Linked DNA regions of Caenorhabditis elegans. The protein of the gene in region 1 interacts with the protein of each later gene in a biochemical or structural test. Each region holds a gene or a part of one and is shown in the gene's direction. Other genes may lie near its edges. The genes, in order: frpr-8, flp-23, flp-16 and flp-7.

Region 1 (8,541 bases):
AATGCTAATTCCTAGTTTTCCGAGCCAAGTCCTACCCAATAGTTACTGATATTCTTGTCAGTTCATCAAATTTAAAACTTGTGTTTGGATAGTACTAATCAAGCTTACTATCAGATTGATAGTATTGTATTTTACTTCAACTTACCGCAACAAAAAAACCGGATTGTCCGTCATCTATGCTCATTTCCCTAATTTCTCAGATAGTCCATAGATTTTTGCCCATATCCTTTACGTTATTCCTTTCATTTTGTGAACCATGACCGACGCGGTTCGATGACGATCTTTCGCGTGAGATACTGACTCCATGTTTGAGGGTTTCGTAGCTGAAAATGCTCTCAGTCTTCCCGAGACAACGTTTGCTCTCATTCATGATTCATTCGATATGTGAACTTTTTTCTACTTCCACTTTTAGTATTTATTCGTTTTAAATAAGTATGAAATGAATAATCCACCTCTTGCTTTTTTTGCAGTTCCTATAAGTTCACGAATGTATTTTTCATATCCATTTCCTTCATTTTCAATTTAATTCGATAATTATCGTTATAGTTTTTAAGACTATTTTTCCGTACACAACTTTGCACATAATGACTATCTGAGTCAAGCTCACTTTTCCGCTAAAATGAATACGCAAGAATATCAAGAGCTCACTTTTAGAACTTCGATATTTTTGTTTTTCTTAGAGTGAATACATCTTCCAAAAATACATCGAATGTTTTTTCCAAGAAAATGCTCGTTTGAACAACGAGTGTAAAAATATGTCCTTGAGCTATGAATTATGAAATATGTGAATGGTCAACTAGAGCTTGCCAAAAAATATGAATTTTTTCTTCAAAGTCTTCAATTTAAAGTATATATTTTATCCGGAAATTACAATGACATCATGTTAATTTTCTTTTTTTTTAAACTTTTTTTCATTTTGGTGAGTGAGTATATCTACAATTAGAATGAATAAGTTGATCAAAATCGTTTGAAAAAATTTTATCATTGTATTATTTTACATATAAAAGTTAAAAATACAAAGAATCCAATTTTCAAACTCTTTTTCTAAACAGAAACAAGTCTTTATCGCTCTTTGATTTTGGTTTGGGTACAATATCTCAGTAAAACCATACTTCTTTAACTAATCTTGTATTTTGACAAATCATATTTAAAGTGAGTTTTCGTAAATTATTATTCCCCGTAATTGGAACAGGTTTCAAATATCAAATAACATTTCTTCAATCATCATTGCTTATTCAAAGAACCTCCTTTGTTTTTGTGAAAGCTACGTGATGATACCAGCCGTTCACGACTTTTTGGCTTCCACTTCTCCGCTAACATATTCATTACTGACCATGCAGTCCCCTTTTTCTCAGTAGTTATTCACAAATTCTTGATACTATATATAGTCGAACATCATAAAAATGACTAGTAGTATATTTCAATTCTGCTTCGTCTTTTCATTGATGCCCTACTATTTACCAGAACTCACTTTTTTGAAGCCATTTTGTAAGGCATCAATAAAGTAAGACTAGTTAGTCTTGAAGATCCAACTGTTTTTTTGTTTTGAAAAGAAAGAAAAACTTAAGAAATTAGTGGATGGTTTTGTTCAAAATTTTCGAAAATAAGTGTATTTTCTCCTAGACTTTTTGAAAGTACGAGTAACAAAAACGTATCTTACTGAAATTGTCAACTATGTGTTTTTGTTTTAAATTTTCACTCTTATCTTAGTTTACTTTCTTTTTCTTAACAAACCAAAACTCTGATTTTGAAAAAAAGTTCTCATTTAATTATTCGCTCGAATAAACTAATTACAAGTTCATTTTTGTGTTAGTATGTATACCATAAATTTTACTTCCTACTTTCTCCGAAGTTTCATATATATTCGTTTTGTTTTACAAGTTTTATATTGAAGAATTTAGTCACCTAATACCATTTTCAAGGATGTATGTTAATCGTTAAATTTGAATAGACCCCTACGTCACTGCTTCTTTTTTTCAACTTTTGAACTTTGGTTGCTCCGTCTTCGCTTTTTTGTTTCGTTTCAACCAAAACTCAATTATCTCTTAGTTAGAGCCTTTTTTCTTTCTAAAACCAATTTTTATCGTGTTCCAGTGTGTGCCACACCACTTCGGCCTCTGGCTATGAACTCGACAGTTATTTCGCTTCTTAATAATTCTACACTGGTCACTACGGATCAGCCAGGTTTTTCTGGAAGTACAAAAGGAACATGCAGCTATCCAACTAATTTTGCGGAGGTCGATTACATTAGCACATATATTTACCTGCTTGCCATTCCAACAATTTGCGTGCTGGGAGCCGGCGCTGCGGTAATGTGCATTGTGGTGTTCACTAGGAAACAAATGAGGTTCGTTTTATTGAAGAGTACTTGTGAGAGTATATCTAGAAAGGACTGAATTCGAATTACCTATCCACTTCACTTTTTAAGTTAGAAAATATAAGAGACGCAAAGAAAATCTGTTCCCCGCAACGAAAAGACTTCGAACGTTTTGAGAAAGGACGACGAAGTCACGTGGCTTACGGAAACGTGTACGAGGGAAACTTTTTCATTTTTCTGCGTCTATATCTTCTAACAAACACAGTAACGTGGATAGGTAATATGTTTAATCATTATTTCTAAAAAAATGAATATGTGATGCGTGTATATCTGTACCCCAAATGGTTCACAGGAAAATAATAATTTTTATATGAAAAAAAAACGATAGCAGTTTTTTTTTTCACAAATTATGTTTCTGCCTTTTTTGTCGAATAAAGAAGGAGTCTTGTCCAACAAGTAAATCAAAAATAAAGTTAGGGAAACACCAAATGTTTTTCCCTGATAAAAATACGCTATTTAGTTCTAAAAATAAATATTTATTAGCCTATATATTTATAAAAATTTACCTCACATTAGTCAAAAACGAGCTATAGCTTTAGGCTGCTATTCATTTCAAAAAATGATCAAAAACTATTCAAATAAATCTTTCAATTTGTTCTTGCTGCACAATTCAATTGAAACAGTGATTTCAAATTTTCTTGGCCCTTAATAAACATTTTAATTCATGTACAACTGACGACATTTTTATGATTTTTTTTGATTGTATTAATCTTTTTGAAAAATTAATGACATCAAATTGTTCCCCATTTATTTAGTTTTAATTTTCTTTGGTAGTCTGTTCAAATACTCATTTCAAGAAAAAAGAGCAAATAAGGATACATAGAAATACAAAATATTTTTAACTTCAGATCATCACTCAACGTATATCTTGCCGGATTATCGGTTTTCGATCTTATCCTGCTTTCATTCAGTGCTCTGATCTTTTCACCTCTCCAAGGTTGCGTTTTGCAGGTGAGCGTAGATAACTGGTTGATATTCAGTGGAATTTGTAATGAGATGAAGAAATGTCCATCAATTTATTCATCGATAAGCTCATAGCACGGAAAGAGAAATGAAAAAAGTTATTTATGATATTGAAGAGGGATTTAATATTTCTCAAAACTTCGAGTTTCATCAAGGTCTGAAATAATTTTCTAATGTCTTAGAAACTGCGTATAATTTATGTTTCCAGAAATATGAATGTTTCAGAACACCACTAAAAACAACTATGTTAGCAATAATTCAAATAAACTATTCAGGGTCACGGGGACACCGCGGTTTGTCATTTCTTCTGGAGATCAACTCCTTGGACGTTACCCATATCAAATATCGCACAATGTGGTAGTGTCTGGACATGTGTTGCAGTGACGGTGGATCGATTTCTTGCTGTTAACTATCCGCTTCATAGCAAAATTTGGTGCACACCGCGCCGAGCAACAACAATACTTATTGCGATTACGGTTTTTAGCATATTGTTCAAAGTAAGTACAAGAATTGTCAATTTTTTATTTTGTATTTCGAAATACACACAACGTTTTAAAGTTTCGTATCCTGACTATTATGGTCTAAAGTAATGTTTTTATAATATATCAAATTTGCATATTACGGAAGTCTGTTGCTACGATAATTGTAGTTTAAAGGTTTTTTAAAATAAAATTTCTTGTGAAAACAAACATCAATGCTATTAGAGTTTGTGACCCCAGTTTTAAAATCATTCAAGCATTCAGAATATTAAACATGTCAGCACACTGTTCATTGATAATAAGTTGATCACTGTGTGAAAATGTTCAATTTTATTTTAGAATTTTTAAAATATACATTTGCGTGTGTATATCAAAACACAAGAGCTACTGACTTTGATTTCTAAGACACCGGGGAAAACATGAAAGTTGAAAAAAAATTAATTCGTAATTTACATTATCACAAAATTAAAAATTCTGTGGAGGAAAAGCAGATGAGCTTGAAATTCCAGTATTTATAATATTTAATATTAACTCGAAAATCGCTGTTTTTTATAAATTATTTTCCATCAGATTGTAATTTTACAAATTGAAAAAAAGTACACTCAAAAACACTAGAAAACTTACAATACGCTTTTTAGGTTCCCCTAGTTTCAATGAATAACTTAGAGATTTTTCAATATTTAGCAGTGCTGTGCGGCCCTTGAAAAAAGTCGGCTCTCGGCGCAAGCCGCACAGCACTGATATTTAGCTCAAAATTTAATTTAAAAAAAATGAGTTAGGTACAATTATACAAAATCCCTACCTTTTTTCATCTTGTTTTAATTTTACGGCCAACTTGAACCACGCAAAACTTTTAGGTTGTGAATACAACATTGGTAGTTTCTTTTTTTGTGTTATTTTCTGATTCAAAAGACTATATGGATTGTTATTCTAAATGTTCTAAATTAATGTACTACTTTGCAAACTGAGGAACATCGTAATAAGTTTAGTAGGCGACTATCCGTGATACAAGTCATCTTCAGGCACCAATGTTCTTCGAGTTGACCAACGATGACTGTGGTCGACTGAGAACCTCATTTCTGCGGGATAATAAGTACTACAAAGAGTACTACGTAACATTTGGGTACCTCATCGCGCTGTTATTGATTCCATGGACAGTAATGATTATACTGAATGTGTTTGTGGTAAAGGCTGTACACAAGGCGTATAAGATTCGGAGGTCTATGCAAGGAGGAAAAAATAATCAAGAAGAAAAAGATCGGAGGTGTGGTTTTATCATTTTTATTTTTAATTATTTTTTAAACTTTGGTTTCACCAGTTTTTTGATGTTAAGTTCGGTTCTCTAGTTTCTTAAAAATTTTCAAATACATCGATTTACATTTTTTAATGATTATTTATTTTTCTTATTTCAAGCATGGACTGCTAACGTTTATTACAAGAACCGAACCAGCTTTTTTGATTTTTGCATGTTTTTGTTATTTTTTATTATCTGAAAACAACTATCGCTCAGAACTTTTCTCCCTCTTTTTTTTCGATTCGACAAAATTCAAAAACAGTAGAAAACAGTTTGTCTCCCAAGTTCAGAAACAGTCTCAGATGCACTCTTATGGCCATCGCTATGGTGCTCACTTTCTTGATCTTCAACGTAGTAGCAGCAGTGAACAACTTGGCTGAGACGGTGTTCGAAGTGAGCTTAGGATTTTGGAGTCCCATTGGAAATTTGCTAATTTGTTTAAACAGGTAAGAAGTTTTAGTAATTATAACGTGTTAGAAGCTGTGTGCTCGAAAAACTTTAGAATCGGTTTCTACATGAAAGTGGCAGAGAGCACATTAGTATGGAAAAAGAAACTTTTCCGGGTTACTTTTTGGGTTCAATCTGTCTTTTCGAAATGTTTTCCAAATATTGCCATGATTTTAAGATGCTTTGAAACACTGAAAATGACCCTAAGTAATTTCAAAAAAATTTTCAAAGAAGTCTGAATCAAGTTCGGTGAAATAAATCATTCAATCTAAAAGTTTAAAATCCTCAACATCAACGCAAACTTTTGAAAATGAACAAGTAAACATTTTATACCAAACACCACCTTCCAATTTTATATCACAGAGGTTATAAAATTGGAAGTGCATGATGCTGAATCGTTTTTCAAATAGAGTTATTGAATGAAAAATAAATGAACTTAAGCCCTAGTGTGGCAAGGTTTTTGAATTGTATGTATGAACAAATAACCTTTAGCGCTTCCAACATCGTGATCTACTCGTTATTCGGAGCCCGATTTCGTCAAATGTGTGTCCTCATGCTTTGCGGGCGACAAAGTCGATGGATGGAGTGGCTCAAAGTTGGAAGGTACCCACCTCAGTAATTCTATCACTGCATTGTTCAAATTTTCTAAAAATTGTCATTCAGGAGCATGGTCAGTGATTGGGATGGTAGAGATGGTACGACGAGGAAAACTAGTTTGGACGCCAGTACTGCTCTGTTAAGTGCGAGGGTAAGCTTTAAAAAAAGTAAATCGGTACATTCATTATTAATTATTCTTCTTTAATGAACATTCTCGATTAATTGAAAACAATTTCATATTTCTTTACTATGCTTTTGCTTTTTGGTATACTGCTTTGTAAATTGTTTTCAAAAGAACCATTACAGCGAATGACGATTTCGAATTTCATAACCTACCCGGTGGTAAGTTTTGTGTGGAAAATAGAAATAATATTGTCTAGAAACGCATTTAGTTCGTGTGCAGTTTCATTTTCTCCCCGGACTGATTTGCATGTACCTTACCCATTTTCCCCAATATACTTAATCTCCAACCTCTTAGAGTTTTTATTTGATTTATTTTTTGATTTCTTGATAATATTGGTTCTAACATAATTTGTTCTGATTGGAAACTGGGGTTAATGCGTTTTAAATAGAGTAGTTTATAAATTTGAAGCAAATTTTTTTAATATGATAACTGTGGAAAGCGGACAAAATTTTTTAAACAAGTTTCACAGTTTAATTATCTTTCCATCAATAATATTTAAACAATATAGCTGTTTCGTTACTGTTTTGGTAATTTGTTAATTTACCGAAAGTTTGACGTTCATATTTGAAACATCCATTTTTTCTTTAGTAATTAACTATAATACTCAAACATACAGTATGTAAAATAAAGTTTCCATAAAGTTTCAAAAATTTGTGTTTCAGAGTTCTCGCCGATGGAGTAAACGGAGTCAAAGTGGTGCACCACATCAAGCAGCTCCTGCTCGAAAAGATACAGTAATCTACACAAGTGCTCAAAACAGACTTTCGCTTCAAAGCGCACCTTCATAACGGAAAACACGTCAAACCTTTATCATGTTTCTGTATATATCTTTACTGCACATCTTCATGGATTTTGTTAATTTGAGCATTTTTTCGATACCATGTATTATTTGATAAGAACTGCAATATCATTATGAATTGAACGCTTCATTTCTGTTTTGTTTTTTTTTGTTTCGTTTCTAATATTTATTTTTCACCTGCCTGCCATAATCAAAAGTTACTAGTTACAAATTGTCTAGTCTAAAAGTAGTACTGGTCATCTCCCTCCAAAATCATCCCGATTCTTGCGATCTCTTTTGTATTCATTTTCTTGGGTTGCTAACATTTGACCAATTCATTTCAGCTTGGCTAGTTTTACTTAAGTGTCACTAAAAATTGCTCGGAAAATTGTTAATTGAGTCCAAGTTTGATTATTTCAGACTTATATAGTTTTATATTTTCTCCGCAATTTTTGAATTCACGTTTTTGGATGATAATGCTCAAGATTTCATTGTGAAATACAGCAATGGTCCAATAAAGTAAATTTCTCGTATATTTAAAAAAAAGTATTATTTATTCAAAATTATGCTTATGTTTATCTTTTAAGCTTTTGGGAATCGGGAATAATATATGTTCAATTATTTTCATTGATTTTCCTCACTCAACAGTCCCAATATTTTTACTAGGAATATGAATACATTCGGACAAATCGTTCGATCAAATTCAGGGTGGGGATGCCTCATAAAATTTGCAGGCACAGCTTAAATGTTTATCAAGTTACAGTCAATACTCTGAAATGTGTATCCGCTCGATATGTGCAGGGAACCATTGTACTTTGAAAACTGTGTCAATATTATATTCAATAAAATTGGTAGGTCAAGTTTCGAAAGGATTTTTGAAAAATCAAATTCACGATGAAAAAAAAAATTCTTTTACTTTCGTGAAGGACAAAGCAAAAAAATTCTCACAAAAATGGCGAGCAATATCCCATTTATATTTTATATATCCGTTCTGGTGCACATCAGTTCAAATAGACGTAAAGCAGAAGTGTGTATAGCGCACATGCGGACACCTCGCGGGTTCCGCCGGCTACTGTGTTTTGAATCCGATGGACGTGGCCAGCAGCAGTTTGTCCCTCTGGAAAAGGAAATTATATCAGCTGGTTCAACGCAGAATTATCTCAATGTTTTTATTATTTCACGCAAAAGTTAAGAAAAAAGTAAAGCTTAAATATGTTCGGTAACATCACATTTTAATAAAATTTGATGCATGTAGGGCTTGAGAAAATCATTCCGAAACTTAAAAGTTGAAGTCATAAAATGATTATTCACGTGCTGACAGCATTTCAAATTGTTTCAGGTACACATTTACCGGAATATGGACCAGGTTCTTTCATTTCATGACAGATGGTGTGCTAGGTGAACACTGCTAGCCCCCCCCCC
Region 2 (4,919 bases), on another chromosome or scaffold:
GATCCCAACCATCAATATGCATAAATATTTCCCAGATCATTCGAAGAAATCATTCGAAAATGCGTCTTCTTATTCTCGCCCTCGCCTCTTTTTCCGTTCTTGTGAGCTCTTTCATCGTAAGTTCTTCTTTTGACTAAAACTGTGTGAAAACCGTGGAAATACGTGTTTATCAGAGTTAGTGACGAAATTTTACCTTTTAATGGTATGATGCCTCGTAAATTTAATCAAACCTCTGTAGAAAACTCGTGTCATGTCAAGCGATTCGAAATCGATTTCTGAATGTGAAACGGAAACCCGTGTCACTTTGATGTCCAAACGCAGGAATAATTCCTTTGAAATTCAGATTCGTACTCATGATCTGCAAAATGCACCAAAAGCAAGAAGATTCCTGAAAAGTTTTGATCAACCTGAAGTAGTTGATCTTACTAAGGATCCCACTACGTTCCAGGAGTTTACCAAATTCTATGTCCAACTTCTAATCGACGTAATCCAAAAAAAAGACACCAGAAGCCTTCATGGCACACAATAATTACCTGGATCTTGAAATGTTGTTCAATGAATGTAATGCTCAACATTACGAAAATTTAGGTTGGTTTCTGTAATAATATTTCAAAGTCTTTTTTAATAAAATTTTCAGGAATGTTCTTCAAATGGCTTCAACAATTTGCTGCTCATCACGAAGATCCAAAGATCACAATTAAAGATTTCAAGGGAGATAAAACATCAGGAGAAATGATTCTTCATGTTAATACCTTCACTTTATTCAAGTACAGACAAGAATTTGACATGAAAGTTAGCGCTTTGAATGTGGGTTATTGAATCAATATTTTGAAGACAAAACTAATTTTTCAGGACAATGGACTTGGGTGGAAGATTTTGTTTGTTGACCGCAGTCTTGGGTGTAATTGATTCATTTTTTGAAACCGAATAAACTAATTTGTTAAATTATTAAATTAGGCAATGGGACAGTCTGGAAGTTGCTAGAATCTACCGATATTTATTAGATATTTATTACTTACTTGCTACTATGTTTCACAAAACAATATCAGAGAAAAAAAATCAAAACTGAGAAAAAACGAAACAACTTACCGAACAATAGTTAGCATTGCTTTGTACAAAAAAAACTGTGAGGCTATTGGAGCACTCCTCTGATTGATCCGGTCGTGAGTATTGATTTTGTTTGTCAATTTGTCTAGGACGCAATTGATTCATCGTTTGAAAAAAAAGCTCGTTCATTCAAAATCATTGATTATTTATTCCATGCAGAAAACTGTTTTATAATTCTCGATAAAAATGTTATATTTTAAACTGTAAATATTTATTTTTCCACATGATATGGTCTAACCGTGGGCGTAATATTTTCGGTTTAGAACGGCTGAATCGAATCTTTTGGACTGCAAAGACGGATTGGATTTTGAAACAAACTACGGTGTTTTTGTGACAGTATTAGTCAACGAATGGTAATTAGGCATATGTTTTTGGAACAACTCATAATTTCTTGTTGGAAAACAAAAGTGGCAAAGTATAATTATTTAAAACTCTGACAAATCTTTTGTCTTTTTTCTCTGGTACTCCTGTTTTTAACAGTGTCCTTATTATGCTCCTATTACTCTTGTGTTGTGCACGTTCTTTTGAAATCTATATTGCAGAGCGGGAATGAATTTAAATAAGAATAATTCAACTTGGTCATTCAAACAATAAAACGCCTACCATTAATATATCCAAAATAAGTTCTTTATTTTTGCAAGGTATTCAAATATATCAATAACTCGAGCCTGAAGAAATCCACCGCTAGAACATAAAATTAACGATAAATATTAAGGCAAAATGTTTGGGCCGAACCGGGAATCGAACCCGGGACCTCTCGCACCCGAAGCGAGAATCATACCTCTAGACCATCCGGCCACTGCCCGGCTGGAGAAAAATGGGGGACTTTGAGCGTTACAACATTCTCGAGGCCCTCTCGAGTCGAGGGGGACCGAGACGGAGAGTGCTAGGAAAACCAAGCATATTTGGTTTTTGAGTATATAGTCGTACGATTGAGAGGAAGCAAAGATAGATTTATAGCTTTTAATTTATTTTTTCTAGGATTTTACGTAACATTAATTTCAATACTGATTTCGAGATTTGTCTTTTGATAGATTTACAACATGGTTATCATCCGGTATACTATTGTATAAAAGATGGTCCTAAATTCTATGAGATTATTTTATATTCTCTCTCAACGAGATGCTTCTTCCAAAAATTTCAATTCTTCTATATATTCTCGTCGTTCTTCAAGAAACAGCGGCTGTCCGCGGTGCTCTTTTTCGCTCCGGAAGAGCTGTTCCGTTTGAGCGTGTCGTTGGACAACAGGTGAATTTTTTATTTCATTTTGAGTGAGCCATTGTAACATTGGATCATAAGAGTCACGTGGAAAGTAGAACAATCTCAACCCACAAGTTAAAGCCTAATATTATTCCAATGCCTCTAGTAAGATTTTTATAAAAATAGAAACCTCGCCATATTAGCCAGACACGAGATTTTTACGATTTCTTCGTCAAATATACGGTACCCAATCTCGACACGTCAATTTTTCAATAAATGCAAAAAGATGTGCGCCTTCAATGAGTACTGTAACTTCAAACTTTTGTTGCTGCCGAATCGACTTAGTTTTGTGAAAATATATGTATTCATGTTTTAAACAACTCAGAATTAACCCAAAAATTTTAACAAAAACTTTTTTTTAAGCTATGAAAAATCAATTTGAATTCGGCAGCAACAAATGTTTTAAATTACAGTATTTTTTAAAAGCTTACGCCATTTTGCATTCATTGAACATTTGTCGTGTCGAGGCCGGGTATATTTTTGACAGAAAAAAAACAAAATTTCAGGTTCGTTGTTTTTTGTTGTCAAAATTATAATGTGTTTTAATATCATATCAAAAAATTAGTCATTTGATTTTCGATAGATCAAGCTTCAGTAGAGGTTTCTAATCATTCGGAAATATACACAAAATCTTGAATTTACACTTCCGATCAGTTGGAGAATATCATTGATCTATCAATAATGTTAGATTTTGTAGTTGATATTTTCACAAAACTCTCAAAACTTTTTAACATAAAAAGTTGGCATGGTGCGTCTTATAATTTTTGAATAACTTATTAAATTTCTAAAATTAATATAGAGATTGGCTCCCACATGTCGAGAAGTTGAATTATTTGTTCCTTGTCTATTCACTTCTAACCGTGATTGTGTTATCGACAAAATATGTGTTCATGAGAAACCACTTCCCCTTTCATCGATTTCTGTGTCAAGCCCGAGTCCAAATACAAAACGGGAAGGTCATCCCGAGTTCATGAGCCAAATTGCGCCGCCTAGAAGAAATGTGAGAGTTGAGCACAGCATTCAACAATTTCTAATCAGCTTTCAGGACTTTTTGCGATTCGGAAGAGCCGGAATGGCTTCTGGAGTTGGTGGAGGATCGGAAGGAGGACCTGATGATGTGAAGAATTCGTATATTCGGGTCAATGGGGAGCCAGAGATTGTTTATCAATAAAATAATATGGATTCGATGCGTCCGATTATTTTTTTTTACTTGATATTACATTCTCGAAACTATTGTAATGTGTGGGGAATCGTTATAAATAAAATATCTTCTTGTTAAACAATTATTCCATGAAATATGAAGTTATAAAGATATAATCCAGATACGAAACTTTGAGATTTTCGTCCGAAAAGTACGGTAGTGGGTCTCGACACGACAAATGTTAGTTGTGCGCCTTTGAAGATTACTATCATTTAATTTTTTGATTAAATCGTTTTATTCTAAATGCTTAGTATTTACACAAATATATTTCAATCGGAATTTTCAAAGTATTTTCCTAGAGGAAACTACTTTGAAAATTCAAAAATTCAGCAACAACGAGAGTTTGTAATTACGGTAATCTTCAAAGGCGCACACCTACTCGTATTTAACAAAAATTTGTCGTGTCAAGACCGGGTTCCGCTCTTTTTTGCAGTAGTACAGAGAATATTCCGAAAGAAGTTTGAAATTAAATTAATTTATTATACCGACAAATCATCAAATGTGATGTATTTCAATGAGTACAATTTTTCGAAAGAAAAACAGATTGAGGATAAAACTTGAGTGATGAGATAACCGTAATATGGAGAATTATATCAGTGTCAAGAAGGCACATTGTTCAGTTTCATATTTACAGATGTTTGGGATTAAATGAAGATTCGGTATGCATCGACGATCAGAACAATGAACGAGTGAGTTGAAAGACCTGGAATGTTTAAAATTAATTTTTAAATTAAAATTCAATTTTCTGCCAACCTTTTGTTGAATGATATCAGTTCTTGGAGAAGACCATCTTTCAATTGCTTCAAATTCACGACGTCTTTTCACCAGTTGTAAGAAGGCGGTCAACGACCCGTCAACGTTTGCGTAGTGTGTGCGGCAGGAGAAGAGACTGCAAAACAGAGATATTTCATGAAGACTCAAATGAACAGCGGAAAATGTGCCTCGATAGCTCAGTTGGGAGAGCGTACGACTGAAGATCGTAAGGTCACCAGTTCGATCCTGGTTCGGGGCAATTCTTTTTCGATTTTTTGAAACTTACCAAATTCCATCATACGAGAGTCCTTGGTGCAGAATTTCGTGAACCAAATCAAATTCTGCTTCTTGCCGGTTTAGAAGATCTGGTGCCAAAATGATGTCGAATTTTTTTCCGCCAAGGAACTTCATTGCCTCTTCAATTGTACCACATGAAACCTTGGTCTTGATCATTGGAATATTATTTCTCTTAAGTGTTGGACGACAGTAAAGCTCCAAACTAGTCTTATCCATTGTGTGCATTGCAATTTCTTCTGCTCCATTTTCGAAAGCATATACTGATGGGAGTCCAGTTACGAATCCGATTTCCAAAACAGAT
Region 3 (5,862 bases), on another chromosome or scaffold:
GGAGAATTTCCTCGAAAAATTTGAGCTCAAATTACCGGAATTGAAACTTCCGGTAAAATTGTACGCATCCTATGAATGTTCCTACATCTATTTTGAAAAGTAATCAAATTCTATGAAAATATCTAAAGAGAACGGGAAAAAATTCAAAAAGGCACAGTTTTAAGTGTATTCGTCTTATAAAAACCCCTCTAAACATTTCCGGCAAATTGACATCTGGCAAACAATAAACCGACAAATTGTCGGAATTGCAAATTTCTATTTGCCGATTTGCCGAACAGCAAACCCATGTCCCAAATATTCCGCGCAAACTAAGAAGGACAAATTACGGATTTATTGTTATTACCTCACTGCTAACCACCATGTTATTTTTAGGGCAAAATTGAAAATTTTGTCTCAAAATTGGGTCTCGGCACGAAATACATTTTCCAGCTTTTTTCACCGTGACCGCTAGGTTTTTTTTCTTTGCCAAAAACTACTAGAACAACTTAACAGAAAATCATTTTCGCTCCATTTTTCAAAATTTCAAAAATCTAAAGGTCTCCAGGGTCCGCTTTATCATCCTTAAGCAAGTATTCCCCCAGTTTTCAAAAAAATTTTGAAAATGGAACATTCATCGAACCGTTTCCCGTTTTAAATTCACACTTGATCTCACACGGGGAGGGCTTGAGGGGCTTCTCCCTTCATAATTAATTATTGAAAAGTGCACGTAATACGCTAATACGCTAGAAACATGAATTTCCAAGATAATAATAATAGGATATATTTCTCTGGAAAAGTGAAGACTATACTATAAAAGTGACGTTTTTTTATTGTTTCAATTGTGGGTGGATTGCAGATTATAGCCGGTGTTAATCTAATCTCCCAAATAAAATATTCAAATATTGTTCTGAATATATATTCTGGGTCATTAGCGGGCTTTCACTAAATTTGGCTGAATTTCCCAATCCCACCTGCAAAATTTTTCGATTTCAGCTCCTGAAAATCTAAAATCTCAAAGATTATAAATGCCAGATATAATATGGCATTTATTTAGGTCATCTTGATTTTCTGACTCAAATTCAATTTTTAAAATTCAATATTGTATCCAGGAAGAAAATTGTTGTTTTTTGTCACAAGAAAAAAAACTTCCGGAAAATTCAAAATTGCACCAAAACACGTGGTGGCAGGCTGTCCCATTACGGTTTGATTTACAAAAATTACGGGAATTTTTCGCACAAAAATGTGACGTCAGTTGAGAGCTCTACGTCTCCTTTCCCGCATTTTTTGTAGATCTACGTAGATCAAACCTAGCCAAAAATCAACTATAACTATTTGCAAATTTGCGCGTCAAATATGGCGTATTGGCTCTGTATACCGTACCACTATAATGCACCATAATTGACGCGCAGGTTTAAAACTCTACTTTGAGTTAAGGACTTCAGATTTTAAAAATCTGAACTTGATCGTGGTGCCAGGCTGTTCCATTTTGATCTGCAAAAAATGCGCCAATTTTTGGCCAAAAAAATATGACGTCAGCCCGTTCTTAACCATCAGTTGAGAACTCTGCGACTCTTCTCCCGCGTTTTTTGTAGATTTACGTAGATCAAACCGAAATGGGACACTCTGACACCACCTGCATCCATGCAAATGCGCTCTACTGATAATTTGAGTGTAATCAGGTTTGAGCGCTAAGGAAAACAGCTTTGGTTCAAAAAATTTTTGAATTTATTTTGGGACATTTTTAATATGCATCACAAAAATATTGGACGACCCGGCTTTGAGAAAATTATTTTCCAACCCTGAACTCTAAAAACGATCCATTTGCCACGTCATACAAGTTTAGAAACCTGAAGCTCCGCCCAGATTCCCTCCCCACGCCGTCGTCCTCACCACCCCGCCAACGTCATCTAGGCAGTGTGTGTGCCCCCTCTGTTAGACTCCGCCCTCCCCCGTCTCTCTGTGTTTGGGCTCTGAAGCACCATTTGAAGGGTGGTTAAGCACTCCCGTGAGATTTTTTTCAAATTTTATTCTACCTTTTTGAACACTTTTGAAAGTTTTACTTTTTTAAAATGCATTTCAAATTTGAGTGACAGCTCTTAGAGAATTGAATATTTATGAATTTCTTTTTCTTTTCACGTTATATACTTTTTCAATTTCTTTCCCATTTTCCTCCCAGCACCCTTTAATCTTCCAGGTAATACACATACAACTCCAGTTGAAAAAATGAATTTCTCCGGTTTCGAATTTTCCTCGATTGTTGCCTTCTTCCTCCTGATCCTTCAGTTGTCAACAGCCGCAGTACTTCCCGCAGGTGAGTTAGTTGGCTACGTACACCTGCCTTGTGTCTAGGCAGGCATTAGGTAGGCACAAAAGCTTCAAAACTATAAGAGAAATCCGCCAAATCTTGCAAAACATATACTTTATATACTAATCCATTAAGCCCCCGGTCTCGGAATGAATTTGTTTTTCGTTAGATTTAGATTTTCAAATAAAAAAGGACAAAAAAGAAAAAAAGAAAGAATTTCATAAAAAATATCTGTAAAATATTTTTTTTTTTAAGTTTGAAAAAATTAATAAATTCCGAGAAATTTTTGTAAAAAAACAAAATTAGGCTTGTAAAGCGGACGTCTGGGGATTTTCCCGAATTCAGGGCGATCCAGTGTCTGGGTTTTTGAACTTTGTGTTTTTTGGATATACGAAAAAATTTCGGCCACTCTTATTTAAAATAAATAGGATTTCTAATAATTTTTTCATTGATTTTTTATTAGTAAGTTGTTTTTCTTTAAATATATATTTATTCATTAAAAAAAACCTATTTGAAACAGTAAAAACACGAAGAAAAAAAAGAAAAGAAAAATCGATGACAACTCCGCAACTACACAAATTTTTAATTACAGTAATCTTCAAAGGCGCACACCCTTTTTTCGAAGCCTGTTAGCGTAAAAATCGATATTTTTTGTAATTTTTTGTACTTCCAACAGTAAAATTAATTTTAGAAACTTTAAAGATTAATTTTTATAAATTTTAAAAACACATTTACATCTAGAAAAGTCCTGAAAAAGAAGCAGCTGCACAAAAAAAACGTAAACCATGGCAACAGAAACCTCCCTAAATTTGATGAATGAGTGTGGATCCGAAAGTATTTTATTCGAAAATAAATATTTTCCATTTTTTGCACGTCACTTACACATGTTTTTATGCGGAGTGCAAGCAGATTTGCAACAAAAAAATTCCAATAAAATATAATGTGTCTGCTCAATCGGGGATCCTGCTCACGGATTTCTGGCTTCCCTCATAAATTGAGATGGAAGAATTTGCCGAACTAGGCAATTTTAGCTCGGTCATATTTGGGGTAGATTTACGGCGCGTTGCGTATCGCGTCGCGGCTCTTTTTTCTCGATTTCAGTTGTAAAACGAAATGCATTTGTCCGTGTGGAGTACACGACTTTCCCACGCGGGCAATTGTCAATGGAGCGCGAAAAATTCAATGAGAAAGGCCAGAATCCCGTGCCTGCTAAATTTTTAAAAAAGATATCTGGAAAAAAAAAGGTTTTTTGCATTAAATATTCTGAGCTAAAAGTCAAAAATGGAAGGAAAAAGTCATCGACGCGGCGCATACACATACAATTTTTAATTAAAACTTCGCCGCCGGCGCATCAAAATAACCACTTCATCTCACCTCGGACCTATAGGCATCATCCATCAAAACCCCACCACCACTTTCATGAAGATGACGGCGAAAATGATGACGTCTTACTTAAATATATACATTTTCAGATTATGCCTATGGAGTAGCCGATGAAATGTCAGCACTTCCTGATTCCGGATCCCTGTTTGCCGAACAACGACCATCCAAGAGAGCACAGACATTTGTTAGATTTGGAAAGAGAGCGCAGACATTCGTAAGATTCGGCAAGAGAGGTCAAACCTTTGTACGATTCGGACGAAGTGCTCCGTTCGAGCAATAAATGTGCTCGTTTTTGTGTCCGAGAGAGTGGCGGGTCGACTTCATCAGATGGCCTAAAATTCCTAGTATTTCCTAATAATCCCTTGAGCCCCCTAAACGTGTTAATTTTCATAACACTTTCTCAGCCCAAAAATTCCAGTATTTTGTCTTATGTCCCGTTTTTTTTTTCACTCTTAAATCGACACCGATGAGATATGTTGAATATGTACGTTTTTTCATTCTTCTCTTCTCCCTGTGTGTACCAGTGTACCCTCAATAAATTTCGAGACCGTTGTTTTCAATTTTAGCTTGTTTCTGATTGATGATTTGATTCTGAACTCCATGAACGAATTGATTAATTTTATTTTTTTATTGAGTTTTTTCTATGAAAGACCTAGCGCCTGTGGAAACTTAAACGGGGGAAAAAACAGAAAACAGGTTGGAGGGGAACAAGCAAAAAAAGTAAAGATTAACAGCGAAGACCCTGGGCAACACCCATGAAGACGCCGAATGATCCGCCGGATTGTGCCACAGTTTTGCCGGTTTGTAGGAGAAGATCCTTGCCTCGCATGCCAGCTCTGAAGCCCATGAATCCGCCGAGAAGAATGCCTGTTGCTCCGCCAATCATTGCTCCCATCATTAATCCCATTCGAATCTGGAAATTTTGAAAATAAATTAGATTTCTGCAAATTTTATCTGACATTTCTAATAAATTTATTTTCTTTCTGCAAATGTCAGTATGATTTATAATTTCAAATCTGAAAAATATTTTTAAAAAAACCAGACCTTTGTAAAACACGACGGTTGGCTTCCTTGTGGGTGTGCTGCATATCCTGAAGGAACTGGCATTCTGGAATTTAAATAAGAAATTAAATTTGATTAATTATTGAGCAGAACAACAAATAGAGAAGAAAACAACCAAAAAATGATGTAAAAATAAAATAAATAACACGGAAACCGCGCAAAGGCACTGAAAACGCGCCAGCAATTTCTGTTGGCGCGTAATTTGATTTGTAAATTTTATTGTTGGAAAGTTGAAGAATTCTTAAGAATTAATTCGAATTCAGAGCTACGAATCATAAAATCTCAAATAAATTAGAGAAAAATGGAATAATAAGTTAATATTGGATTATCGGCAGCGATTTAAAACAGTTAAAATTCAAATTGTTCAGCGAATTCTTGGTTATTTCATATTTGAAATTGATTCCAGAAAAAATTGCTCTGGAGAGCTCTCTATCCGTTGAAATGAGAGTTATTTTCCACTTTGTGAAAGAAATCGTTTTTTTCAAGCCAATTAATAACCTCTTATACGCACAGGAGCAAAACTTTTCAGCTACAGTACCCGGGAGTACTGTAAATATCGATTTTTAAGAGTTTCTAGAAATTTGTCGATGTTTTACGTGTTATTGATACATTTAAATATTTCACATTTAAAATTACAAAAAAAATAGTGCCTGAAAATTGCAGTTTGCCGAAAAAACATTTTTTTAACGGCACTTTTTCGGCAAACTTCTACTTCCAGGCACTATTTGAGAGCTTTTATACGTTTTTCATCAGAAATACATGTTATTTTCAGATAGAACAACCAGTTTTCTACATTTCTATATAAATTCTAGACCAAAAAAGTTGGATTATCGGGTTGAAATAACCCAAATTTCTAGCTTTGCCGAAAAATGCCGCACAGTTTTGGTATGGTAGCTGAAAAGTTTCTCTCGTGCCAGGATCCACGAATTTCTGGCTTCCCTCGTAAATTTAAATGGAAGAGTTTAGGCCGAACTAGGCCATTTTGGCTCGGCCATATCTGGGGTAGATTTAAAGCGCGTCGCGGCTCGATTTTAGTTGTAAAACTAAATGTGTTTGTCCGTATGGAGTACACGACTTTCCATGTCCGGCCGGTGATTGCCAATGGAGCGCGAAAAATTCAATGAGGATGGCCA
Region 4 (4,642 bases), 2.8 Mb from region 1:
GAAAAAAAAACCTTGAATACGGTCAAAGAACAGCGAATTCTGATAAGGCATATTTTCTATGTTTATTTATTAGTGTTGCTTGAATAAATTCATGATCATTTATAGTGATGCGAGAGCTGAAAGTTTCTTGGAGCGAAACAAAAAGCAAAATTGGAGCCTATATAACCATGTGATCAAAGTGTCAAAATGATTTAACAATTGTAGTTTCATAAACTAGAAATTACGTGTGGAAACTGACAAAAACTTTCAACTTTTCAACTTTTCCGCCTTCAATTTTTCTAGAATTCTTAATTTCATTGCAGCAGCGACTTAATTTCCGTTTTGACGTAGACTTAAGATTATATCGGTAACATTAGTTGTAAGTTTTCTTCGTCATTTTACAAAGACTTACAACTCGCCGTATAAATTTTCAATTTTTTCGGAATTGTTGGCCCACGTGTTTTCATTTATTGTGAACAAAGTTAATAGCTTGGTTGTGTCTGGAAAAGTTACTTAAAGTAGTTCAAAAACTTAGAGTTCTATGAAATAGCAGCTTCTCTTCTGGCATCTCTCACATCTTTTGCTCGAGTTACGATAATTGAGGAAACGTTTGAAATTAAATGCACAGGTGATTCTATAAAATACTTATGGAATGTTTTTGAAAGGGTTTTGCAAAAATACTCAAACGCATCTACAATAAGTGTACATACGTAATATGACATATCACCCAGATTCACAAAACCACATGTTTTATAGATATGGTACTTGGTTTCAACAATTTTTAACATACTTTGAAAAAGAGCAAAAAGTATGTTTTACATTATTTATTGAAAACTCGTGTCAAGACCTGTTATTGTACTTAAGTTTTTTATCTGAAACTATTTTAAACTCTACATTTCACAATCAATGATCAAAAGAAAAACTGACCGAAATTTCTTTTTTTTTATTTTAAACTAGTTTTTGAACAAAATTGAACTTAAAAAACTTCAGTATCCACAATTGAAAAAAAACGTCATTTTTTGATTTTCTTAATCTTGAAGCTGTATTGTAATGTACTTAAAATTATTTTTGTTATGCGACTCTTATAATATTTTACATAAAAAGGACTAGATAAATATGTGTTTGTGCATCACAACCCCCGTTTAAAAATAAATTGAACTTTCATTCATTTATTCATTTCAATTAAACATAATATATTTTATAATTTTTTTTCAGGCTCCAAAATGACTTTTTTATAGGTTGAAGAGCCTGATAATAGTTTTAATAATACCTAAATTTATAAATTGAAATTTCAACGTACATCAGTACGGATAACTTTGTGTCTAAGTAATACATACAAAATTTTTGGAAACTTATTTGTTGAATTAATTTTTATTTTTGCCTTCTTCTAACACTTCCTCCTAAATTCTCAACTGACCGCTCAAAAGGTTTCAAACATCTTTCTCTTTGCTCTTCTGGAGAGTGCTTGCTAGTATCCTAAAATACCCGACACAATCAAACAGAGATGGACCGCGTGAATAATGAAGTGTCCCAAGATCCGTATAATTCACTTTGATTGCTCTGTGAACTTGGATTTTTTTAATCGGGCTAATGCGTCTTTAGCAAAAATAGCCAACCATCTCAATGGATTCCAACCTAATTTTGATTTTTTTTTTTTTTGGTGTTATTTTTTCTCCTTGTTCCGATTTCCAGTTTTTGTTTGGACGAAGGCGGAGTCATAGCATCAGACAAGGTTAGAAGGCATGAGAAGAAGGGGGTGGAGCATGAGCCTTTCTCGAGCTCAGGAATATGAAAGCGTATATAAGTATGGATAGCAGCTTCTATTGCGTTTCTGATTGTGATTATTTTGCCCCGTCATCAGTTTTCTTTTCAGTAAATTGTCAAATACAAATTTTTTGATTACTGTTGCTTGGTCTTGTGCAATCCACTCAATCTTGAATCCAATTTGCAGTTCAAGTTACAAATTGAATTTCCCTCTGCCAACACTCAAAGAAGGGTTCTTTTTTTTGACTTTTCAACTTTTCTCCTCATTTTTTCTCGATTGAAATTTCAATTTTTAAACCACTCCGCGTCATGTTTGGAAACATGACGTCATCGAAAAATACCATCTCGTTTTCATTCAAAGACTTTTAGAAATGCTTGGATCCCGCTTCCTTCTTCTTGCTCTTGGTCTCCTAGTTTTGGTATTGGCCGAGGAATCAGCCGAACAACAAGTTCAAGAACCAACTGAGTGAGTTGAGATTTATTGATATTATGTTGTTCTTGTTGTCGTGATTTGTTGAGTGAATAAATTTATTTTATTATTCTGAATGAACTCCTATTTTTTCTATTTTTTATATTTTTCAGACTCGAGAAGTCAGGAGAGCAACTCTCAGAGGAGGACTTGTGAGTTGTTATTATTCAGAAAAAACTTTATTCTCACACTATGCACTTTTAGAATTGACGAGCAAAAGCGTACTCCAATGCAACGCTCATCAATGGTTCGGTTCGGACGGTCACCAATGCAACGCTCATCCATGGTTAGATTCGGAAAGCGTTCGCCAATGCAAAGGTCCTCAATGGTTCGCTTTGGAAAACGGTCGCCAATGCAACGATCTTCAATGGTGCGTTTTGGAAAACGTTCACCGATGGAGCGTTCGGCTATGGTTCGCTTTGGAAGATCACCTATGGACCGATCGAAAATGGTCCGATTTGGTAGATCATCAATTGATCGCGCTTCTATGGTTCGGTACGTATTGACGTGAAAAGTATTTTGTGAATAAAGCTGAAGTTCAGACTCGGAAAACGGACACCAATGCAGAGATCATCGATGGTCCGTTTTGGCAAACGTTCGATGGAATTTGAGATGCAATCAAACGAGAAGAACATCGAGGACAGCGAATAAACAAGTACATGCAAACACCTTGATTACCAAGAACAAAACGGTCTCACATTGTAGTTTAATCTCGTTCTACGGCCTATTCTTACCTTTTTCATTTATGTATTTTTTTTTGACAATTATTTTTGTGCCACTTGACTAATAGTACAGATTGGTCGCTACCCAAATACTCCAGTGTATCAAAATTAATTTGCGATTTGCAAAATAAAGAACCGACGCCTGTTTTCCAGTCCTTCATCTTAAATTCATGCAATGCAAAGGATGAGAGGATTTCAAAAAAATAAAACTATAAAAAACAGGAAAATTGTTCAGAATGGCTAATACGGTGAGTCTGGTAAGTTGATTAAAAACAATGTACATTTTTTGCTTTTTGGACTAGTTTCGCGCCATAAAGCATTGTGTCCCGAGCCTGGTTTCATGTCCACTCATTCGCTGCAGTATTCAAATATGATCAAACCTGCCCAGCTACAGAAAAGCCTGATCTCGCGCCTTTCCCTATAACGTTAAAAGTTGTTAACTTTATTTCAAAGTGCATCGACTCTCCTAGGAGAGCGTCGTATGAGTTAAGTTGAACTTTTCAGAAAATAATCCAAAATGATTATTAACATTGTAAAGGCTTCTCAATCCCTACGGCAATAAATCATACAGAGCTTTTTGGTCATGGTCACCCGCTCGTTTTCCTGAAAATCAGAAATATACGTATTTGGATAATAGAGGTTTATTGAGAAAGCCTAAATCTAATAAATTTCAAACCGACAATGGTAAATTTTTCGATATAATTTTCTGGAATGGGTTAATTTTTTTTGCAGTTGTTTATATTATGTCAGATAACTTTTTATTAGTAATAGTCAGAACAGACGGGAAGTTGTAATAATATCAAAATGATCGGAAACCTCAAACGGAACAAAACTAGAAGGAGTATTATCTAAAGTTATATTGGGATAGAGGATGCCTCAGATTAAAAAAAAAATTTTGGCAAATAATCAGATATTGGAAATTTTGAGAAATTTTGAACAATTCTCCTTGTTTTAGCCATACAATTTTTCACATAAATTTTTTTTTGCTGTTTATTTTATTTTGCTGTTTATTTTAACCACACAAACTATGTTCAACAGATTATCATCCAGTACGAGCTGAGGGGGAATGAAAAAAATAAGTTTTATGGTTCTATAAAGACCAAGCACCATAATAAAACTTTAAAAAAATATTTGGAAATGTTGAATTGTGAATCAAAAAGCGGTGCATATAGTTTATAAAAATTTAATGATTTTCTTCTTTTTAATTATTCGTTTTCAAAAAATTTGTAAAGACTGAATTTTCTTCTTAAGTTTTCACCGAAAAAAATTTTACTAATTTTTTGCAAAAATGTATCATGTTCTTTGTTTGATTTAACACCATAGAAGTGGTTTTCAACAAATCATAGTCCACATTTAATTAAAATTGCACCAACACACAATTTTCAAGCTTTCTTCAATGTTTCCAAAGTTGAAAAAACACTTGTAGGTTTTTGAAACCATTAAAAAGCTTTATTATATGGTAATACCCAAGTAGTTCCGCATCCGCAAACAATTCTACATGCCCATTTTTTTGAGCTCAAATAAACGAGGTTGTGGGATTTTTAATCAAGTTCTACTATTCTACCGCCAACTCCTAGAAATAAATATTTGATTGAAATATTTCATTTTCAAATTATGAATTCCCAGAAGTTGCGAGGAAAACAATTTCCCAAGTTTCGAGCTTCTCCCCTAACATCTCACGTCAGTGCAATGAAATGAGTAAAATAAA

The links.
Region 2: the proteins of frpr-8 (region 1) and flp-23 interact in a test that uses a peptide from one of them, tested with the Caenorhabditis elegans proteins (one large-scale study listed by BioGRID).
Region 3: the proteins of frpr-8 (region 1) and flp-16 interact in a test that uses a peptide from one of them, tested with the Caenorhabditis elegans proteins (one large-scale study listed by BioGRID).
Region 4: the proteins of frpr-8 (region 1) and flp-7 interact in a test that uses a peptide from one of them, tested with the Caenorhabditis elegans proteins (one large-scale study listed by BioGRID).

What each region holds. Positions count from the first base shown.
Region 1 is NC_003284.9:8,695,694-8,704,234, forward strand, and holds frpr-8 (G-protein coupled receptors family 1 profile domain-containing protein), read left to right. Parts: upstream 1-2,123; coding exon 2,124-2,347; intron 2,348-3,225; coding exon 3,226-3,328; intron 3,329-3,615; coding exon 3,616-3,837; intron 3,838-4,841; coding exon 4,842-5,083; intron 5,084-5,415; coding exon 5,416-5,559; intron 5,560-6,052; coding exon 6,053-6,175; intron 6,176-6,223; coding exon 6,224-6,308; intron 6,309-6,463; coding exon 6,464-6,499; intron 6,500-7,003; coding exon 7,004-7,129; downstream 7,130-8,541.
Region 2 is NC_003281.10:8,648,548-8,653,466, forward strand, and holds flp-23 (VVGQQDFLRF-amide), read left to right. Parts: upstream 1-2,219; 5' UTR 2,220-2,229; coding exon 2,230-2,355; intron 2,356-3,166; coding exon 3,167-3,367; intron 3,368-3,412; coding exon 3,413-3,538; 3' UTR 3,539-3,647; downstream 3,648-4,919. Other genes in the region: F22B7.3 (uncharacterized protein), read left to right, coding at 516-588, 638-807, 853-909; F22B7.9 (uncharacterized protein), read right to left, coding at 4,242-4,271, 4,322-4,457, 4,608-4,919. UniProt on the Caenorhabditis elegans protein: FMRFamides and FMRFamide-like peptides are neuropeptides.
Region 3 is NC_003280.10:13,233,133-13,238,994, forward strand, and holds flp-16 (GQTFVRF-amide), read left to right. Parts: upstream 1-2,173; 5' UTR 2,174-2,202; coding exon 2,203-2,290; intron 2,291-3,756; coding exon 3,757-3,947; 3' UTR 3,948-4,285; downstream 4,286-5,862. Other genes in the region: romo-1 (Reactive oxygen species modulator 1), read right to left, coding at 4,395-4,580, 4,712-4,774. UniProt on the Caenorhabditis elegans protein: FMRFamides and FMRFamide-like peptides are neuropeptides. AQTFVRF-amide inhibits the activity of dissected pharyngeal myogenic muscle system.
Region 4 is NC_003284.9:5,883,753-5,888,394, forward strand, and holds flp-7 (TPMQRSSMVRF-amide 2), read left to right. Parts: upstream 1-2,112; 5' UTR 2,113-2,114; coding exon 2,115-2,209; intron 2,210-2,325; coding exon 2,326-2,364; intron 2,365-2,416; coding exon 2,417-2,707; intron 2,708-2,754; coding exon 2,755-2,863; 3' UTR 2,864-3,081; downstream 3,082-4,642. UniProt on the Caenorhabditis elegans protein: FMRFamide-like neuropeptides. Stimulates serotonin-induced fat loss by binding to and activating the npr-22 receptor which leads to induction of the atgl-1 lipase and subsequent fat loss.